Regions from separate parts of the Mus musculus genome. Here all the other regions are reported to be linked to region 2. Evidence: microRNA targets listed by miRTarBase, many of them from high-throughput screens and not tested one by one. Region 2 holds a microRNA gene; each other region holds the end of a gene's coding sequence.
The links. Region 2 holds the annotated microRNA mmu-miR-509-5p (UACUCCAGAAUGUGGCAAUCAU, at 1,474-1,495, shown strand). A microRNA usually pairs through its seed, bases 2 to 8, with sites in the 3' UTR of a target mRNA and lowers its output. Matches are read on the target gene's strand: a 7mer-m8 pairs with bases 2 to 8, a 7mer-A1 pairs with bases 2 to 7 and ends in A, and an 8mer does both.

Region 1 (5,000 bases), not on the chromosome of region 2:
CAGAGGGCCGGTTCTGGGCTAGTCTCGAGCCTCAGCTAACTAGCAGGTTTGGGAACAAAGGAGTAGCCAAGGGACTCAGTGGTAGGGACTGGGATGCGCGTGCACAGGCAGAACCGTGGGGCCACGCTGAGATTCAAGGCAAGTGGGTGCCTAGACTTCTAAGGCTCTGGTGGTCAAAGTCGTGCGGAAAACAGAGCCCTGGGCTGCAGCCTCGCACAGGAGACCCACCCGCCGCCCGATGGCCACCGCCCGCAGCCAGCCTAGGCTCCGGACCCGACCGCTCCCCGCTTGTACCTGGCAGCAGCATCAGCACCAGCATCAGCATGGACAGCGGCGGCGGGGGCAGCACAACACCCATGTCTGAAGACCGCATGGACAGGACCGGAGCCACTCTGGTGCTGACCACCACCGAAGCACAGCTAAGCTAGCACGGAGAGCGCGGGGTTCCTCCCGGCTTCGCGCCGCCGAGCTCCCGCGCACTTGCGCGCCCGAGTGCACGAACCCCAGGCAGGCAAGCGCTGCTAGCAGCCGCAGGGCGGGGAGGCTGGGAGGCCAAGGCAGGAGCTGCGTCCGTCGTGGGAGGGGCGTCGGGCCACGGTCTTCTGCGTCGATGCCTCGATGCCTCGCCCAGAGCCTCCCTGGACTCTTGAAACCTCTAGGCTACAGACCAGTCGGGATCAGGCATTGTCACCATGGCAGGAAGAAAGGGTCAAATTTCTGGCCCTGGCTTTCTGGCAGGTACAGCTCTGAGGAGGGCTGGGGGCCTATCACATGTGCCAGCTCTAGTGTAACTCAAAAGTGGACCGTGGAAGTTTATGCTCTTAAAGTAACTATTTTCAGCACGATGCTGTGTGTGTGTGTGTGTGTGTGTGTGTGTGTGTGTACACAGCATACAGTTAAGAGGGACTCGATGGCTTGGGATGGAAACAATATTGGCAAGGAGTTCCCCATGGTGGACGCAAGGGTGATGATATCTGGGAGGTTTTATATTATTTTCGCTACTTTCTTTAGACTATGCTAGAGATGCTCCTTGAGAAAACAGACAAATGCTGATGGTTATAGCTCAGCAGTAGAGTGCTTGTCTAGCACACCTAAGGTCCAGGCTGCGATTCCCAGCAGAGTAAATAAATACTTTTATAAGTAAAGTTGGAATAACTAGAGGATCTGGCTTCCCATAGTGACCGTCATAGATTTCCTTTTGTGGCGGTTATAGATTTCCCTTGGTCTCACTGCCAGCTGCAAACCCATGTGTCCCAGGAATCGACGGTGACAAGGTAGGTGTTCTGGGGTCTCTTGACCTCTCTGGCCATCCACCAGGGATGGCTTAGCCCATGAAGGCTTCCTTGATGGTTCTTGGGGACCTTGTAAGGGTGATGGAGCAGTACTAAGCTGGATCATGGTGATGAACATACTAAAATTCATGGTATTGTCCAGTGCACAATGAGTGAATTTATACTTCAATAAAAGTGATCATTTTAAAAAGAGTTTTGTTTATTGTGTGTGGGGGGGGGCGTGCACACACATGGAAGCCTGAGAGGAAGTATGTGTACATGCACACACATAGAAGCCCTAGGACAGCTTTGTGAAGTTGATTCTCTCTTAGAGTCTTTATAAGGATTCTAGGGATGAGATTCGGGCCTCCAGGCTTGAGAGGCAAGTGCCTTCGCTCACTGAGTCATCTTGCTGACCCAATGAAGTTGTTTTTAAAGACCCAGCATATGGGCTGGTGAGATGGCTCAGTGGGTAAGAGCACCCGACTGCTCTTCCAAAGGTCCGGAGTTCAAATCCCAGCAACCACACAGTGGCTCACAACCATCTGTAACGAGATCTGACTCCATCTTCTGGAGTGTCTGAAGACAGCTACAATGTACTTACATATAATAAATAAATCTTTAAAAAAAAAAGACCCAGCATAAAGAAGCCAGTATCTACAGTATCTAATGGTTACACCCTGAAGGATTCCGTTTAAGCAGCAGGCTTGAAGATACTGAGCTACAGCAGTGAAGAAAAGGTAAGGGTGGCCAGGGCTAAGTGTGCAGGGGTTGGGTCTATGCAGAGTAGCCAAGTTTGAGTGACATCTTTCTTTTGTCCTAGTGTCAATGATGGTTATACAAATGTTAAACTTTAAAGAAGTCAACTTTATTGTAGGTTAATTCTAAAAACAAAACACTTTAAAATATTCTCCCTCAGGGGCTGGAGACTCAGCAGTCAAGAAGAGCATTGGCTGTTCTTCCAGAAGACTCAGGTTTGATTCCCACCACATACGTGGTGGCTCAAGTCTGTAACTCCAGTTCCAGGGGATCTAGTGCCCTTTCCTGGCCTCTGGGGGGGGGGGTACTAGCATGTACGTGGTACACACACATACATGAAGGCAAAACATCCATACACATAAAATAATAAATTTTTAAAATCTTCCCCTTGTAGGCATGAAATAATACCCTGTGTAAAGATTACCTTTATATTATTCAAACGCTGATTTCTGTGCCCCCACATTTGATTGTAATTCTTATTCTGAGAATTTCCAGTCTCAATGTTATGTAAACATTGCTCCCCAATTATTCCCTGATTGGTCAATGGCTAAGCAGGGGAGAGACTAGGTCTGGACTTCCTCCCATCCAGGGAAGGGGGCAGGAGGAGAGTGGGGATTCTCTTTGGGTAGAGAGTCCAGGAGATGCCATAAGAAAACACCTGGAGCCCAGAGAGCCAGATCAGTACTAAAATGCAAGTATCACTGGGGTTTTGACTGGGAGGTAGCCAGATCAGTTTAGAGGATTAAAATAGATAATGCTGCTCGTTGTTGTGCCTTTAAAGCTTCTTAAATAAATACAATAGTCCAGTCAAAATTATTTGGGAGCTAGCTGGGTAAAAGGAAAACAGCAACATTTTTTTTGTATTGTTTTGTTTGTTTGTTTGTTTTTATGAGACAGGGTTTCTCTGTGTAGCCCTGGCTGTCCTGGAACTCACTCTGTAGACCAGGCTGGCCTCGAACTCAGAGATCCGCCTACCTCTGCCTCCCAAGTGCTGGGACTAAAGGCGTGAACCACCACACCTGGCTCAACATTTATTTTTTTAAAAAAGCCACTAACACTCCTTAATTCCAGAAGTATCTTGAGTGCCAACAGTGGGGCAGGCACCGTGAGAGAAACAGATCAGTGTGAGAAAGAGACAGGCCTGAACCAACCATGGTGTAAAGGCAGAAAGCAGGAAGGGAGCAAGGACAGCTACTCAGAGGGTGTGTGTGTGTGTGTGTGTGTGTGTGTGTGTGTGTGTGTGTGTTTGAAGGAGAGCAGGAGCCATTCATTCAACAAACATTTATTTTGCACCTTCTGTGTGCAGAGCTCTGTCCCAGGCTCTGGAGTGTGAATGTGAATTCACACACTCCGACCCTTGTTGAGCATAGACTTTAATGGGCAAGGTGCTGGTGACTAGTGTGCCACCAACTAAGGACTGCAGCTGCCAATGGAGGACACTCAAGAAAGCTGGAGGTTTAATGTGGTTATGGGAGACGCTGCTTTGGAATGCATGGCTAGGGAAGGCTTGTACAGGAAGTGACATATTGGAACAGAGGATCATGGGAGTAGATCTCTGCCTAGTGCAGACATGTAAAAAGCTTGGGAATTGAGAGTCTGAGGTTTGGGCGGTAGCTACAGCAGATTTGAAGGTTCTAACCTGGAAGAATCTGGAAGTGTGAGAGGAAATGAAAGACGGCCAGGGAATCTAGTGGGTAGCCTGGATTGGAGGGAGATGGATGGGAAGGTGGGCTGGGGTGTGATGGGATGATACACAGCTGTCTGACTCCAGTGCCTGGCACATGGAAGGAAGGAGGCCAGAATGGACTTCAGCCACCTAATCCCCCTCCTTCAAGGGACTTACTCGAAGATATTCAGAGCGATCAGTGCAAGCCACCTATCTCTGTCCTTCTCGTGGCTAGATTGATAGGCTGACTGCCAATAGTCTTAGCTTTACTTAGGGTCTCATTAGCTACAACCCAGATGAAGCAGTAAACTGCCCACTAGGCTGCTCATATCATCCCACTACAACCCAGGGCCCCATAACACGCTGGGTAGCCTAGAGGCCCTTGGAGGGTGCGTGGATCTGGAAGAGGGGTGGCAGGAAGAGCCCCATGGTGCCCAGAATACACACAATCACGAACACCCACAGGAACAGGCGGTCGACGACCATTGCGACGAATTTCCAGTCCTCGATGACCTGCAGACAAACAGAGGCTGGTTACAGGTGCCAAGCACAGGGTAGCTCCTCCCTCTGAGTCACAGCCTCACAGCTGAGCACCATCACACAGGCAGCACGGGGCAGAACTAGGCATTGCTGTGGCAGGTTCTGAATCCCAGGCTGACCTCTGCCGGGCTCCTCATGATGTTCTCCAACCTCACCGGACCTGACTGGGCTTGGGGGAGGGAGTAGCAAAGCCATGGGGACTTGGGCTATACAGACGTCCCTCAGTCTCCTCTGGATCCCCTAGGACCTCTCAACCCTGATGCTGCTCAAAAGCCCACAGAAAGAGTGCAATATTTGCATCTAACTCATATATGCTAGTTAGGTTTTGGTCATCTTGACATATTAGGGTCCTCTGGGAAGAGGGAACGTCAGCAAGTTTGTAGGGTGTTCTTGTGGTTAATGATTGATGTGGAGGACCCAGCCCACTGTGGGTGTTGCTACTCCTGGTCAGGTGGTCCTGGGTTGTATAAGAAAGCAGGCTGAGCCACCCATGAGGAGCAAGCAGGTGAACGGTGTTTCTCCATGGCTTCTGCTTCAGTTCCTGCCTCGAGTTCGGACCTTGGCTCCCCTTGATGAGCTATGACTCAGGATATGTAAGCTAAATTTTCTATACCAAGTTGGTTTTGGTCATGGAGTTCATCTTAGCAATTAAGACATAAGACATCATGAAACCCTCCCCTGTAGTTACAGTGTCTATAGACCTGGTGAGTTCCTAACACAGTGGAAGTGCTATACGAGTTGTCGTTGGTTTGTATTTGGGGGAC
Region 2 (5,207 bases):
CATTTACATTTCCAATGCTATCCCAAAAGTTCCCAACCCACTCCCCCACCCACTCTACCACCCACCCACTCCCACTTCTTGGACCTGGCATTCCCTTGTACTGAGGCATATAATGTTTGCAAGACCAAGGGGCCTCTCTTCCCAATGATGGCCAACTAGGCCATCTTCTGACATATATGCAGCTAGAGACACGAGCTCTGGGGGGTACTGGGTAGTTCATATTGTTGTTCCACCTATAGGGTTGCAGATCCCTTTAGCTCCTCGGGTACTTTCTCTAGTTCCTCCACTGGGGGCCCTGTGATCCATCCAATAGCTGACTGTGAGCATCCACTTATGTGTTTCCTAGGCCCCGGCATAGTCTCACAAGAGACAGCTAAATCTGAGTCCTTTCAGCAGAATCTTGCTAGTGTATGCAATGGTGTCAGCGTTTGGAGGCTGATTATGGGATGGATCCCTGGATATGGCAGTCTCTAGATGATCCATCCTTTCGTCTCAGCTCCAAACTTTGTCTCTGCAACTCCTTCCATGGGTGTTTTGTTCCCAATTCTAAGAAGTGGCAAAGTGTCCACACTTTGGTCTTCGTTCTTCTTGAGTTTCATGTGTTTAGCACATTGTAACTTATATCTTGGGTATTCTAAGTTTCTGGGCTAATATCCACTTATCAGTGAGTACATATTGTGTGAGTTCTTTTGTGATTGGGTTACCTCACTCAGGATGATGCCCTCCAGGTCCATCCATTTGCCTAGGAATTTCATAAATTCATTCTTTTTAATAACTGAGTAAATGTGTAATTGTGCATTTACAAAATTGATTAATTAATTAATTAATTAATGTAAATGTGTAATTGTGCATTTACAAAATTGATTAATTAATTAATTAATGTTTACCCTCCACATTTTATTCCACCCCGTCCACCCTCAGACTCTTCCACATCCCATATCTCCTTCCCAACCTCCTGTCTCCACGTGGATGTTTTCACACCCACCCCTCATGGTCTCTAAACTCTCTGGGGCCTCCAGACTCTTGAGGGTTAGGTGCATCATCTGAAAATGACCAGAGACCTGGATGTCCTCTACTGTATATGTATTGGGGGCCTCATATCAGCTGTTATATGATGCCTGTTTGGTGGTCCAGTGTTTCAGAGATCTCAGGTCCAGATTAATTGAGACTGCTGGTCCTCCTACAGGTTTGCTCTCAGCTTCTTTCAGCCTTCCCTAATCCAACAACATGGGTTAGCTGTTTCTGTCCACTGGTTGGGTGCAAATATCTACATCTGATTATTTCAGCTGCTTGTTGGGTCTTTCAGAGGGCAGTCATGATAGGTCCCTTTTTTTATGAGCACTCCATCGCCTTAGAAATAGAAATATTGTTTATATATATTATTTTCAGTGTCTGGTTTATTGATTTAATTTCCCCAACTATCATTTTTAGACCAAAAATAAGAGTTGATTGTGATAACTGTGTGTGGTTCTTTACTCCAGAATGTGGCAATCATGCATAATTAAATGTGATTGACATTTCTGTAATGGAGTAACACATGTGATATATGGCATGTGCAATGGCACCGTAAGGGAAGTGTTTTGCTTAATTACATGCAGAAAAATGGTCCCTTTAGAGGACAGGGACAACTTTCCTCTATCTCTGTCCTGACCACAATCTCTGGTCTTCCTGATCTACATCAGGGTACTTTTAAAAGTGAATTCTAAGAAGAAAATCTGTGGAATAAAAAGGATTATGAAAAAGACTTCAAAATGATGTTTTCTATTTTTCCTGAAATTCATAAATACTACTGCAGAGTTATTTAAAACAAATAAGAAGAGATTTTAATGTGTTTGTGATCAACTCAGTGATCAACAATTGTAATTAATTTAGCCTAAATTGTTTTCTAGAAACAAATTTGTTAGATTAATTCACTTTATTTTATTTCTATTTAACAAATAAATTTATTTATTCATGTATTATCTATTTTTGATAAGGAGTTAAGGATACCAGCATAAGAATGCCTGGTAATTGTAATCTTTCTGTATCCTCTCCCAGAATAGTTGTATTATAGGGGGAAAGTCGCCATAACATACTATACCTTTCTTTTAGTGTCTTCATTATTTTCAACGTTCTCTGGTCCTTTTCCAATTGCCTCTGGCTTCTCAGAATAAGCTCAGTATATTTTTTCCCTCCTTAGTATTTTATTTTTGCTCATTTTAAATAGTTATTTTTATGTGTATGTGTATTTGCACACATGTTGTGCTCATGCCCACACAACCCAGAAAATGGTGTCAAATCTTTCTTCAGATTGAGACAACCAGTTATTTATGGGTTACTTGATATGGGTGCTGGAGAAACAAATGGCACACAAGTGACATGCTTCTTTCTGAACCTGAACTCCCTCTGTTTCTTTCTGTTTGCCATGTACCAAGAGATGTTTGCCAGTGTAGTACAAGACTAACTCTGTAATCAAAAGGAAGCAGAGTGAACTGGTGATTGCTACATATGCTTATTTAGACAATAGGATATGGGGATATGTTTACCTTTAAATCAAGTTGTTTAATTATGAAAAAAATTGATGCTGTTGTGTTTATTAGACAGGGTCTTAATATGTGTCACAAGTGGACACTGAACTCATGATCCTCCTGACCCTGCTTCCCAGGTACTGGAATTACCTGCACGCAATTTGTCTATTTTGACTTTTTGTACACCTGTAGACTTTTTTGGTCTCACAGAACTTAGTCTTACTATCAATGTTCTAATCTGTTTAACAAGTCCTATATACTACATTCCCTCTCCAATTTCAAGGATTCTTCTTAAATATACCTAAACCCCATGATCTGTGTTATGTGATATATAACCAAATAATATTTTAAACACATTTTTGAAATAAAAACTGCTTGACTAATCAGCCTGTTTTCATTCCCTTGAAAATATGTTTGGATCATTTGTGAGCCATTAATATATGAGGAGTTCTTAAAATACAGGTAAGTCTAGGTATTCTCTGGAATGTTTAGCTATTCATTTCTTTTTACTTATTGTGGTATATGTTCATTTTTATTTTTGGTGTCTTTGTAGCATCTGCTATTAACACTCTGATAAGAGAAAAACAGAGAGATAGAAACACAGAATGAGGAGAGAGAGAAGTTTAAGGTAATACCAAAATGACCAATTGTTATTTAATCACTCAGTAGAGTGTATGTCAATTGAAATTATGAGGACAGATGCAGATATATAAATTTGTGAGTGTTCATGTGTTCATATGCATGTGTGTTTGTGTTTGTGTGAGTGTGCATGTGCTGTGCATGTGTGTGTGTGTGTGTACAAGTTTTACCTTCCTCATGTCATGTGCTACCATAAGTTGTAGAATTTACAAGTTTAATTTTTAATTTAAATGCAACAGAAAAAACTTGTAATACCAGGGTTTTGTTTGAGTTATGTATTAACATTTATAATATTTGTATAGGTTTATGTTACTATAGTTTTAATTTTATCTCTATATCAACTATACATATTAAACATTTTTAAACATGCACATGATCCATACATTTTCTCAATGAGTTATAATGAGAGGTTGCCCAAAACCTGAATTCTTGTCGATAGGCCTCAACATTAGATATATGAGGGACTTCCCAACTCTACATTCTGTTGCACAGTGCTAAATTTGAGTTTGAATGAGCTTAAGGGCATGGTAGTTAAGATGAATTTGTGTTCCATGGAAATTATAGTGACATGAATTAGGTATAATATTTATATCTGTGAGTATAAGTTGGTTGTCTGAAGCCAAGAATGCTATGTGCTAGGGCAAGCCTGAAGTCTGGTTTAGAAAGTCCTTTCCTATACCTATATAGATCTTTTACAGTACTGCCTATATTTTCTTCTAGCAGTTTTAGTGTTTTGAGATCCCCATAGAGGTCTTTGACTCATTTGATCTTATTTGCGAAATGGGTGATGGATAAAACTCTAATTTCATTTTCCTGGTGTGAATCCTGTCTTCTCAGCACCATTTGTTGAAAATGCCCCCCAACACCTTTTTTTTTAAACTGTACGATTCTTGTCTCTTGTTCAAATACCAGATTGCCATAGTTTCTAAAACTCTTGTCTGGATCTTTTATTCCATTGGTTTATATAGAGAGACCTATATTATATCTTGAAGTCAAGAATAGCAATCCCTCTAGTATTATTCTTTTTGCTTTGGATTCCTTTGGCTATACATGATCCATCCAGAATATAAAAAGAACAACAACAACAAAAATCAAAGGGTCAAGGAAATAAATTACCCAATTAAAAATGGGCTAGCAATTTATACAGAGAGTATTAAATGGAAGAAATAAGGATATATAGGAACAGTGCCCATTCCCTGGATGTCTACAACATAAGTGCTACCACGGCAAAACCAGAAGAGTCTACAGTGTGACCCAGCATGCCGTGGGCATCATTGTAAACAAGCAAGTTAAGGGCAAAATTCTGGCCAAGAGGATCAGTGTGTGGATTGAGCACATCAAGCACTCAAAAAGCAGAGACAGCATCCAAAAGCAGGTGAAAGAGAATGATAAGAAGAAAAAGGAAGCCAAAGATAAGGGCACCTGGGTGCCATCCAGAGAAGCACACTTTGTGAGGACTAACTGAAAAGAGCCGGAGCTGTTGGAGCCCACTGCATGTGAATTCATGGCATAGTGTACAAAAAAAAAAAAAAAAAAAGTACCAGAACTACAAAGATTTTCCTCCAATTAAAAAAATATAGGACTTGGGCATGGATTCGGCGGACACCCCCAAGGTCCTCTAGAGAACTCTCCATGCAATCTTTGGACCACCAGTTAATGGAGCACAACTTCTGTTCCAATCCAATCACACAGGACCTGAGACAGCACTAGGGAAGCAGAAAAGTCAGCCTGACCAGGGTCCAAATCCCTTCCAGGTTGGTGCCAGTACCAGGACACCTTGGGCGCTGAGTCGGTGGACACCCCCATGGTCCCTGGAGGAGTCTCCATGTGATCTTAGGACCTCTGGTGAGTGGAACAAAACTTCCATTCCAATCCAATCACAGGGGACCTGAGACAGCATTAGGGAAGCAGAAAATCCAACCTGACCGGGGTCACAAGTCCCTTCCAGTTGGTGCCAGCACCGGGTCACCTGGGCACAGAGTTGGCATACACCCCCATGGTACCTAGAGGACAGCTTCTGAGGCAGACACAGTTTCGAGCTCCAGATATCCAGGCACCTTC
Region 3 (5,207 bases), not on the chromosome of region 2:
GCTTTGGGGGGCAGGGGTGGGAATGAATAAAGACTCAGCACAGCTTATGACTACTTTACATTAGTCAGCTTATATTTTGAATATATTTATTTTATTCTCCTAACATAAATTGAGCTTTATATAGGTGCGTATTATAGAAAAAGCACAGCGTATGCACTGTAGGGTTCAGTGTTGGCCTGGTTTCAGACATGGTCCCACTGATGGTCTTGGTTTTCAGAGGTAATGGGATGACTGCAAACATTTTGGATATTTATTAGAAGGAGGAAACCATCACTGCCCTAGCTTCTAGTAAATGGAATGAAGCTACAATGTTCAAGTATAGGACTAACTGGCCCTTTCAAATTTGCTCCCTAATTACAAAGGATAACAATGTTGCTTAGCTGTCAGTCAAATGCTGAATTCCAAGGACTCGGGTGCTGTCTTAGCTTTCTCAGTCTCCTCAGTGGTGGCTCAGCAGGGCTTGGGGGGGGTGTGCTTGGAGGGGTGCAACATTTCAGAGTCGGTGCTCCAGGGACAGGGGTAGCATTGGCCTTTATAGTCTTTCTCTCTTTGCATGGGGTTATCAGGTGGCTTGTCCCCTAGCTGGTGTGTTCTCAGAGTAAAATTCCACTGTCTTTGTGGAAGGAGACTCTGGCCTCTGGGCCAGAGTACTGCCAATTGTTTGGATTATTTGCTAAGCAATGCACAGAGCATTTAAAAGGATGAGTTTCAAAGGACTTTCATACCTGTTAGCTGACTCTCCCCTAATGACAATCTGTCTTCTCTTTGGTGTTTGCACATCTTTAAACTTTGCCTTTCTCTTCCTCTAGGAGACGCCCACTCGTGGACCTCCACGTTGAACTCATGGACAAAGTGTATGCGTGGAACAGTGGTGTTTCGTCTAAGGAGAAATACAGCCTCAGCCTGCAGCACACTCTGAGGAAGAAACTCATCCTGGCTCCTACGTGAGAACCCCAGACCGTTGGTGTTCTTGGTATATCATCCAGGGTGGCGGCTTGGAGCAGAGCTTGGCGGTTACGGCTGCTTCTGGCTGCTTCTGGCTCTGCCGTGAGTCCTGGCCTAGGGTTCTCCTGTGCACAGGCATGAGCCGTAACCCTGTGCCTGGGAAACGTCTCACTCCCGCCGCCGTGCCTTTACCTCTCTAAACTTCCCTACTTACATTCCTTAGTCGGATGTTTTGCCAGAGTGTGGAGAACAGTAAGACATAAACCTATTGTTTGTTTGTTTTTTTGGGGGGGAGGTTATCTACCAAGTTATACCAAGTTATTGTATGGGTGTATAGTGTATAGTGGTTCAAGATTTGACACTGAATGTAACTTGAGACTTACCTGAGTTTGTCATGCGACTGGGTAAATTGTTTCTATGGCACATCTAATCATTTAATAAGTAATTACCTCATTAAGTACCCATTGCTTCAGGACTTTCACATTGGCCACCAATTTCTGTGACCCAGCTCCACATTTATATTCTCTTTCTGCAAAACCAAATTTCATTATGTCTGTTTAATATCTACAGTCTAATGCTTTGTAAGACATCTAGATAGAAAAATAGTTACCCATGAGCACAGGAGGGCTGGCCTGACCCTCACCAGCTGTGCAGTGGCTTCGGTGAAGGAGAATGAGCCCTACTCCTTGAAGGTTGTAGTGCTTGGGAGAGCAGTCTGTACCTTGCCTGGGCAGCACAGTAGAGCCAGCCCCAAGAACACAACAGTGAGTGGGGGAGCTTGCCCTGGTTGGCTCAGGATCAGGAACAGGAGGGATGACCAACTTGGGGCTTTGAGGTGGCCCACCCCAGCATCCATATCATCTGTGAACTGCCAGAGCCTGTGAAGGGGCGGGTCCTGTAGAACTAAGGCTGCAGGATCTCCATGACACAGGGCAACAACAGGGTATCTGAGAAGGGTCCCCGTGAGGGTCCAGTATTTATAGTGCACCAGAAGCCAGAGGCCTCGGATCAGACAATGACCCATTGCACTGAGTAAAGATGTAAGTGAATGAGTGAAGATGTGTGGGCACACGGAAATACTGAGGGACACACACAAGCTTTTATGGAGATGTTTGTTTGTTTGTTTGTTTGTTTTTTGTTTCTTTGGCAGGAACAGATTGCAAGGGCAGAGAGTAGATAAGGAAGCTGGAGACATGAGTGGGGTTGGGTGCATGATATAGAATTCACAAAGAATCAAAAAAAAAAACTTAAAAAAATGGTTGCCTAGTGAGATTACTTATTTATAATTTATATAGCTAGCTTTTTTTGTAACAAGAGCAAATAGAATTTATTTATTTATTAAATACATTTGAAGCAAGGTTGTAACGTACGTAGCAAAACTCCTGCCATACCAGTACTAGCGTGGGGGAGGCCAAAGGATCACATGTTCTGAACCAGTCTAGGTATGTAGTAGCTGTGTAATGAGATTGTGTGTTTGCCTGCTTGTGAGAGAGAGGAGAGAGATAAATTCCAAAACATGTAACATGGTATAATTTTATTAGCTGCTATAAAACATGGTTATTTTACTTTGTATACTCTTGAGTAACCTAATAGTATAATCTATCTGTATTTGAGGATAGTAGTCAAACCCCTCCCCTCAGGGTTTAGGGACCTGTTCTGAAGAGGAGGCAGAAAGACTGTGAGAGCCAGAGGTGGTGAAGGGCTCCAGGGAAGCCGCATCTTCCAGACAGAACAGGACCCGTGCACATGTGGCTGACAGCACAGGTTCAAACCAGACAGAGTCCCAACACTGAGAAAGGGAGACGAAGTTGTGGGCCATTGTGCTCACACCTGAGCACAGTGGGAATCAGGAGTGTTCAACCCTCAGGGTTGTCTCGTCAGAGGGAGAGATGTATAACCTGTTTCTGCCCAGAAGGCAGGAACAATGTGATTCGTAGCTGGTGGTCTCTGCACTATTTGTACCACCAAGCCACACCGCCTCCCTCAGACTCAAGTTCATGTCAGTCAATCGGCAGTCTGCCCTCCCTGCCAACCTCATCAGGACCACTGTTTTCCCTGAGCCTGCTTCCTCAGTTAATTCAGAGAACCTATCTGTATGCAAGATGTTGCTTGTACTCTACAAGAGTTTCAGTATAGCCATCTCCTAAGCTTTTCTGTACACACAGGACTGATTAATTATCACCAGAAACTATTTTGAAATTGTGCTGTGCCTAAAATAAACTACTTGGTGCTAGACTCCAGAAGTTTGGACAAAAACTGTCCACTGAGTCACGTTGAGACAGACTTTCTTCTTGCTTCTCTTGGATCAACACCCTGCTGGTTAAGGTGTTTGCAGAGATCCCCACGAAGGGGAGGTTGTGCAGTAGATAGCTGCTGAGAAAGGGAAGTCAGCTTTCTCCAGTGGAGTGTTATTGGACATATCCATTACCCGTCAGGGCAGGCCCCAGACCCAGGAGTAATTGGCTAACATAAAATGGACTCTGTGTGCTTGTCTTTTTATTGATTTTCTTTCTTTCTTTCTTTCTTTCTTTCTTTCTTTCTTTCTTTCTTTCTTTCTTTCTTTCTTTCCTTCCTTCCTTCCTTCCTTCCTTCCTTCCTTCCTTGTTTTGTTTTGTTTTTGTTTTTTTGAGACAGGGTTTCTCTGTATAGCCCTGGCTGTCCTGGAACTCACTTTGTAGACCAGGCTGACCTCGAACTAACTCTCTCTCTCTCTCTCTCTCTCTCGTTTGTTTGCTTTGCTGTTCAAGTTTTTTCGTTTTTTGAGAGAGAGAGAGGGAGCGCAAGAGAACATGAAGTTATATGAGTGGGGGTGGGTGAAATGGGGAGGATAGGGAAGAGCAGGGAGGGAAAAAGAGCATCCCACGGGACTGTTTCAAGGACCAAGTGTGAGGGGCTTTACAACCATTTTTGAGCTGTGCTCTTAATTAGTTATATCATTAATTGTATCATTAGACCACAGTGTAACGGGGCTGTTTTGGAAGGACTGAGTCAAACTTTGAAAAGCTGATGGGACTTGGCAGGTGGTGATAGAGAAGAGAGCGTAAGTCAAGGGAAGGAGCCAACGGGAGCTGCACAGTGAGCTTTAGAGACCTCAAGAGTGACTTTTAGCTGGGGCAGATGTGCACAGTGATGGTGTCAGTGATGGATGGTGTCAGGAGGTGGATGTGGTCCTGGTGTGGAGAAGGCCCCACTTTTTTCCCTTAGCTAGTTGTCTAGTAAGATATTTCTCGGGGCTGGTGAGATGGCTCAGTGGGTAAGAGCACCCGACTGCTCTTCCAAAGGTCCAGAGTTCAAATCCCAGCAACCACATGGTGGCTCACAACCATCTGTAACAAGATCTGACTCCCTCTTCTGGAGTGTCTGAAGACAGCTACAGTGTACTTACATATAATAATAAATAAGTCTTTAAAAAAAAAAAGATATTTCTCCTTACTTTCATAGTAGGATCTTTGGTTACTTCTTTGTTCCTTTTGTAGACAGAATTGAGATTTTTGTTTTTCACCGACTTTGGGGTTTTTTCTGAAATATTTTAGACATATTAAAAGATAATTATGTATGGAAGACAATGAATACCTGTTTTAAATAAAATGTTCTAAACTTGTATGTGAATACTCATAATATAGTTCTTTAAGGCACTGATCTTTAAGTGATATATACCCTAAAATATTTCAAACTAATAGTTAGCCAAGCATATGGTTAAGTTTATAGTTATGATGGGCTACCAAGAGATTCTGTCACTATTAACATTTTATGTATAAATAAGAACATATATTAATTAACAGGCATTTAAACACTTGGTCTCCAGGTGTGCTGTTTGAAAGGTGTGGCCTCGCTAGAGGAACTGTTACTGGGGGACAGGGACAGGCTTTGAGGTTTCAAAGGCTTATACCATTTCCAGTTTGCTCTGTATTTATTGAATATACTATTGTATAATGTATATCATATTGTATATATTGTAATATATATAAAAATATTTATTGGAGGTAAAATGAGAAAACTGAGAAGCATGTATTCCACATGTGTGCTCTGTGGAGGACATTTCATATTCAGATTGTAACCGTAGATGTTATGGCTGGAGTTCTAACTCTCACAGCTATGGAGATAATATACAGTAGGAGGTAGCTGAGTGGTGAACAAGAGACAGAATCAGCCAGGCATGGCAGTTCCTACAGAGGCAGGAGGATTGCCACAAGTTTGAGGCCAGACTGTGTCATGCTCCATCCCTGGTGAAAAGGGAGCAGAATTAACAAACTGCCCCAGAT
Region 4 (5,207 bases), not on the chromosome of region 2:
TGGCCTCGAACCCACAGAAATCCACCTACCTTAGTGCTAAGATCAAAACCGTACACCCACTACGTTTCATTTATTATCTTTACAGTTCTCATGCAGGACCCTGTATCAGTATAAAACAAGTACATTATATAACAATGAAATGAAATTGCTCTTGGAAATTAAAATTGGAGAATGGGGATAAACTAAGAGTTGAAGGCAGCTTAGAGACTCCTCAGACTCAAAGTATACCTTGAGTCTCATTTTATATTTTGGTTATGCTAGAGGATGGAGAGATCAAAAGCAAAACTCTAACTAGTAATCCTAACACTTGTGATGGTAAATACTGTCAACTTGATTACTTTTAGAATCACCATAGACACAAATCTCTGGACTTGGAGGGTCAGACTTAGATCCCCATAGATACACACCTTTGAGCATGTCTGTGAAGATGCTTTCACAAAGGTTGAACTGGAAAGATGTACCCTTAATGAGGACTGCATTCTCAAAGGAGTGGGCACACACTGAATAAAAAGGCAAATTCAAGTTGAACATCCATTGCTGTTGCTAGACTGCAAATACAATGTGCCCAGCTGTCTCATGCTCCTGTTGAAATCCCGTCCAAGCTGTGCTAGACTGTACCTTAATCTGTGAGCCAGAATCAACACATGCTTCTGAGGTTGCTTTTACCAGGGTTTGTCATAGTAATAGGAAACACAATCTAGATAGCTCTATATGTAGGTGTAATCTAGCATGGTCTCAGTCATCCTCCTGCCTCAGCTTACCAAAGTGAGAACTGCCACTATTTTGAATCTTCACACCCGCCCACAACAAATTGAGTTATGTTTAAAAGGAGTAAAACTGGTAATATCAGAGTGAAACCTTAAAAATCTTTGGAGGAAAAATTAAGGGGTTCAAAAGGATCAATCAGGATTTAATGCTGCAACCCACAAAATGCTCTTTCATAATACCAGTTTACTGAAGTTTAATGAGAACTGGTTTGGTGCCATATTGGATGGAGTAAATTGGATTTTACCTAATGCAAACAGTCAAAAAAGAATATAGATTTAGTTGAATAACTTTATTAAATGGCACATTTTGATATTGGTGTATTAAAATGCCTCATGACTCAAACATTTTCATGACACTATAATGACAAGTTTTAAAAACTAGACCACAGAGCCACAGTTACTGTTATAATATGGAACAAGTTTTGTCTACTAAACATTCATACTCAAATTGTGATTCTCAAAAGTAAAACCCATGTATCATCAAAATAAAGCACTTCAAAGGACAGAACACTGACAAACCCAGTATCTACTGAAATGAAAGCAGAGTACATTATAGGAAAGGAACTTTTTGAAAAAGTAATGAAATGTACTTTATATACAAAGAAATTTGAATACAAAGCAATTTGTATATGAAGTAATATACTTTGAATAGTTTACTTTTACCCATTATCCTTTAGAATTGTGAATGATAGTTCTGGTTTGGGGGAAGACGTGTTCTTATTAGGAACATGATACAGGTTATTAGGAGTAAAGGAACTTTATAGAAAGCTTTATAAAATGTTATGTGTTCTAGTTAATCAGCAGCCTAAAAAGAACAGCTAATATAGTCAAAATATTTTAACAGTGCTGCCTATTCTACAGGGGTAACTGCTCTATCAGTGTGATTACAGTGTAATAAATGAGTATTTTGTCATCAGAAAATTTAGCTATGTTAACAATTTTTCTCATGTTTTCCTGCATGTATGCATGTGCTTCATTGTGTGCCTGGTACTTGAGGTAGCTAGAAAGAGGGCACTGAATCCCCCTAAACTAGAGTTGTAGATGATCGTGAGCCTCCGAGTGGATGCAAAGGACCACACCCAGGTCCTTCTGCAAGATACAGTGCCACCTCTCCAGCTTCAAATAGCCACATTTTTTTTTTTCGTTTTTTCGAGACAGGGTTTCTCTGTGTAGCCCTAAGCTGTCCTGGAACTCACTCTGTAGACCAGGCTGGCCTCGAACTCAGAAATCCGCCTGCCTCTGCCTCCCAAGTGCTGGGATTAAAGGCGTGTGCCACCACTGCCCAGCTCAAATAGCCACATTTTAAAATAGTGCAAATTTCAACATCTTACATAAAAATATTTACAACAGTCAGAGACTGAGAAGCCAGATTGAATCAGTTTGAGCCAGAACAGCTAAGTTGAACCAGCCAGAGTATAGAAAGAGCTAGAAAGGGTGAGCTTGTTCAGCAGTAAGTCTCAAAAGATGAAAACATTCTAGGCCTAGATAAGATTGTATGGAGGCTGGAAGCTTCCAGGACCTCACCTAGGTTAGCAGACAGAGGCAGTGAGCCTGAGATGACAATTACATCAAGTGAATAAAAGATCATTTTACAGTCTAGAGGTGGAGGTTGTCTAAGGCTGGAGTTTGTAAGAGTGTACTGGGTTAAATAGTGTTCCTCACAAAATTCCTATCTATCCAGAACTCCAGAATGCATTTCTACTTGAAAACAGGATCTTTGCAGATGTAAGTGGTTTAAGACAAAGTACTAGAATCCTTCTGATGTGGTGGTGCATACTTTTAGTCACAGCATTTAGAAAGCAGAGGGTGGGTATCTTAACTCCAGGCCAGCGGGGGATGGCTCCAAGGTTAAGGGCACTAGCTGTTCTTCTAAGTACCTGGGTTCAGTTTCTAGAACCCACGTGGTGGTTCACAACCAGATTCGGGAGATCTGACCCCATTTTCTGACTTCTGTGGGCACCAGGCATACAGATGGTATATATTCATTCATATGTAAGTTAAAAAAAAGAATGGTTCAAATAAATGCTATTTACAAAAGAACTAAGTGAAAATAGTTACACAAGAGAAAGAAATGACCATGAGAAGATGAAGGTGTAAGACTGCAGTGCAGCTCTAGGTATAAACTAAGAAGTAAATGTCAAGGACTACTGGCAACCAGCAGCAGGGGTGGGAATGGGGTGTGTGGCGGTTTTGCCCAATCCTCCAAAAGCCAGATTTGAGACATCTGGCCTCCTAAACAGTGAAAATATATTGGTTGGTTTAATCCATTAAGCAAGCAGTAGTTTGTAGCAGTGTAGCAAGCTAGCACATGGGAATAGGAGTGACTACAGTAAGTACAGGGCTTCTTTCGGAGGAGTTATGAAAACACTTGAAAAATACAATGATGACTGTACACAGTGCATATAAACATACTTTTTAAAAAAGATTTATTTATTATATGTAAGTACACTGTAGTTGTCTTCAGACACTCCAGAAGAGGGCGTCAGGTCTTGTTACGGATGGTTATGAGCCACCATGTGGTTGCTGGGAATTGAACTCAGGACCTTTGGAAGAGCAGTCAGTGCTCATAACTACTGAGCCATCTCACCAGCCCCGCATATAGACATACTAAAAGCCACTACATTAGTACAGTTTAAATGGGTGAACTGTATGCTTATGAATTACATCTCAATAAAGCTGTCTATACATAAGAACTTGACAGATAAATCCTGTCACTTTTCAACTTCACTTTTAATTTAAACATTTTAGAGTCTGTTCTAACTTCCATTCAGAGAAAAATTTTAAATGGAAACTTTCACAAATTTAAGAAATATTAATGAACACACGTAGAATGAATAAACAAAGCAAATCTATTTAAGTTAAAAATATTTAATATCAGATAAAAACATTGATTGACAGTTTAACATGGCACATTTCATACATAGTCAAAGGGCAAAACATTACTGAGAAAAATTAATAGGCCGTTTGGTAATTTGTTGTCCACATAAAAGCAATGAATAATGATATACTTAATGCCAATTATTACAAAACTTTTAGAGAAAACTCAGTTACCTCTAACATGTTCTGCTAGGAGAAAAGAAAACTGTATTTTTTAAAATCCATATGCTACTGGGCTACAATTATCAGTGCTTTTCTAGTAATCTAGAAATTTCTTCCAACAGCTTTTCTTCTGTTGGTCAATCGTTCCTACTGATTGGCTCTCGCATAGAGAATGAGGACATAGAGTGCTTTTTACACTGCTGAGTAAAACCATATGAATTAATGATGGGTGCTAAGCTTAATATTTTATACAAAAATGTATAATATTTCATTTAATTGGACTGAATATATTATTTCATGAGTAACTGGGTACAGTTAAGTCCCAAAAATCTGAGAAGTTTTGTGAGAAAGTGTGTATGTTTAAGCCATTTTTGCTTACTTTAAAATGGAATAATTTGGCACTAAATGAAATAATGAAGACAAGCAAAATACATAACACTATTACAGTTACTCTATCAGAGTTTACCATCTCCGACTATAATTCATACGATTACTTAGTTCTTGACCAAACAGAAACAAAAAGCCCTAACTACACAGCACTTACACAATTAGGAAAATAGAATCTAGAGCTAAGCTGGGGCTCTTTCTCTGATGAGCATGCCCCACTCTGCCACAATCAGTTATATATTTGCAATTCACGTTTTCAAGAAGTGCTTGTAACTTTTCACGTTTTCTGGCTGATAGGTTCTTGGATGGCCAAATAAAATATGATCTTTGAATTAAGTAAGGAGATCCAGATAATATAAACTGTTATCTTATTGGAATCTTACTTTATCAAAATACCAGATCAGAACTTCATAACCGAACTCTTGGAATAAACCACTGGTGGCCATATCTCTAAGTTTCAGATGAGTGGAAGTCCATTCACCATTCATGTTTCAAGGGTCTCTTCATTTGCTCCACAAGTATCAACAACACAAATTAGACAACTTGTGACTGGGAAAGCCCGGACTTTTGAGTTGGCGATCCACTTATCTGTTTCAGTATTATACTCAAGGATATGCCCCAATCTGCCTACACCCTGAAAACCTGCCAGGACATAGATGACAGAGCCAACTGCTGCACACTTCACCGTGACACCCCTCCATGGCATCGGTGACACCATCTTCCATTCATTTAACTTGATATCGTAATATTCCACATTGTCCAGACCACCTTCAAAAGAACAACATATGAGAACTTTATTTTATTAGTGATTGCTGGATCTCTTCATAGTTTCTAAAAGTTTTATATTTTAGTTTCAAAATAAAATTGTTAACCACATAGAAAGGATATAAGAGCTTTATGATCATTACCCACACGCCCACTACCTAAATATTTATTCTTGAGAAATTTTCAGAAATATTTTTTCTACAAAGTAAAAAAAACAAACAACAACAACAACAACAAAATAAACCCTAC

Region 1: miRTarBase lists Chrnb4 as a target of mmu-miR-509-5p. Seed matches in the 3' UTR shown: 7mer-m8 at 3,795-3,801 and 7mer-m8 at 2,285-2,291.
Region 3: miRTarBase lists Cflar as a target of mmu-miR-509-5p. Seed matches in the 3' UTR shown: 7mer-m8 at 4,297-4,303 and 7mer-m8 at 5,018-5,024.
Region 4: the mRNA of Klhl7 is a reported target of mmu-miR-509-5p. Seed matches in the 3' UTR shown: 7mer-m8 at 3,234-3,240.

What each region holds. Positions count from the first base shown.
Region 1 is chr9:55,026,037-55,031,036 of GRCm38, forward strand. It overlaps Chrnb4 (cholinergic receptor, nicotinic, beta polypeptide 4), which reads right to left. Exons shown (of 6, transcript NM_148944.4): 6 at 2,120-4,209. The coding sequence ends at 4,069. Chrna3 (cholinergic receptor, nicotinic, alpha polypeptide 3) reads right to left here and starts at 526. Exons shown (of 6, transcript NM_145129.3): 1 at 295-526. The coding sequence starts at 358.
Region 2 is chrX:68,006,437-68,011,643 of GRCm38, reverse strand. Mir509 (microRNA 509) reads left to right here and starts at 1,465; the gene lies at 1,465-1,539.
Region 3 is chr1:58,752,975-58,758,181 of GRCm38, forward strand. Cflar (CASP8 and FADD-like apoptosis regulator) reads left to right here. Exons shown (of 10, transcript NM_207653.6): 10 at 810-5,207. The coding sequence ends at 948. Among named protein-coding and RNA genes, the nearest start is that of Gm39646, 36 kb to the right of the region's middle.
Region 4 is chr5:24,159,201-24,164,407 of GRCm38, reverse strand. It overlaps Klhl7 (kelch-like 7), which reads right to left. Exons shown (of 11, transcript NM_026448.3): 11 at 3,177-4,961. The coding sequence ends at 4,678. Among named protein-coding and RNA genes, the nearest start is that of Nupl2, 3.2 kb to the left of the region's middle.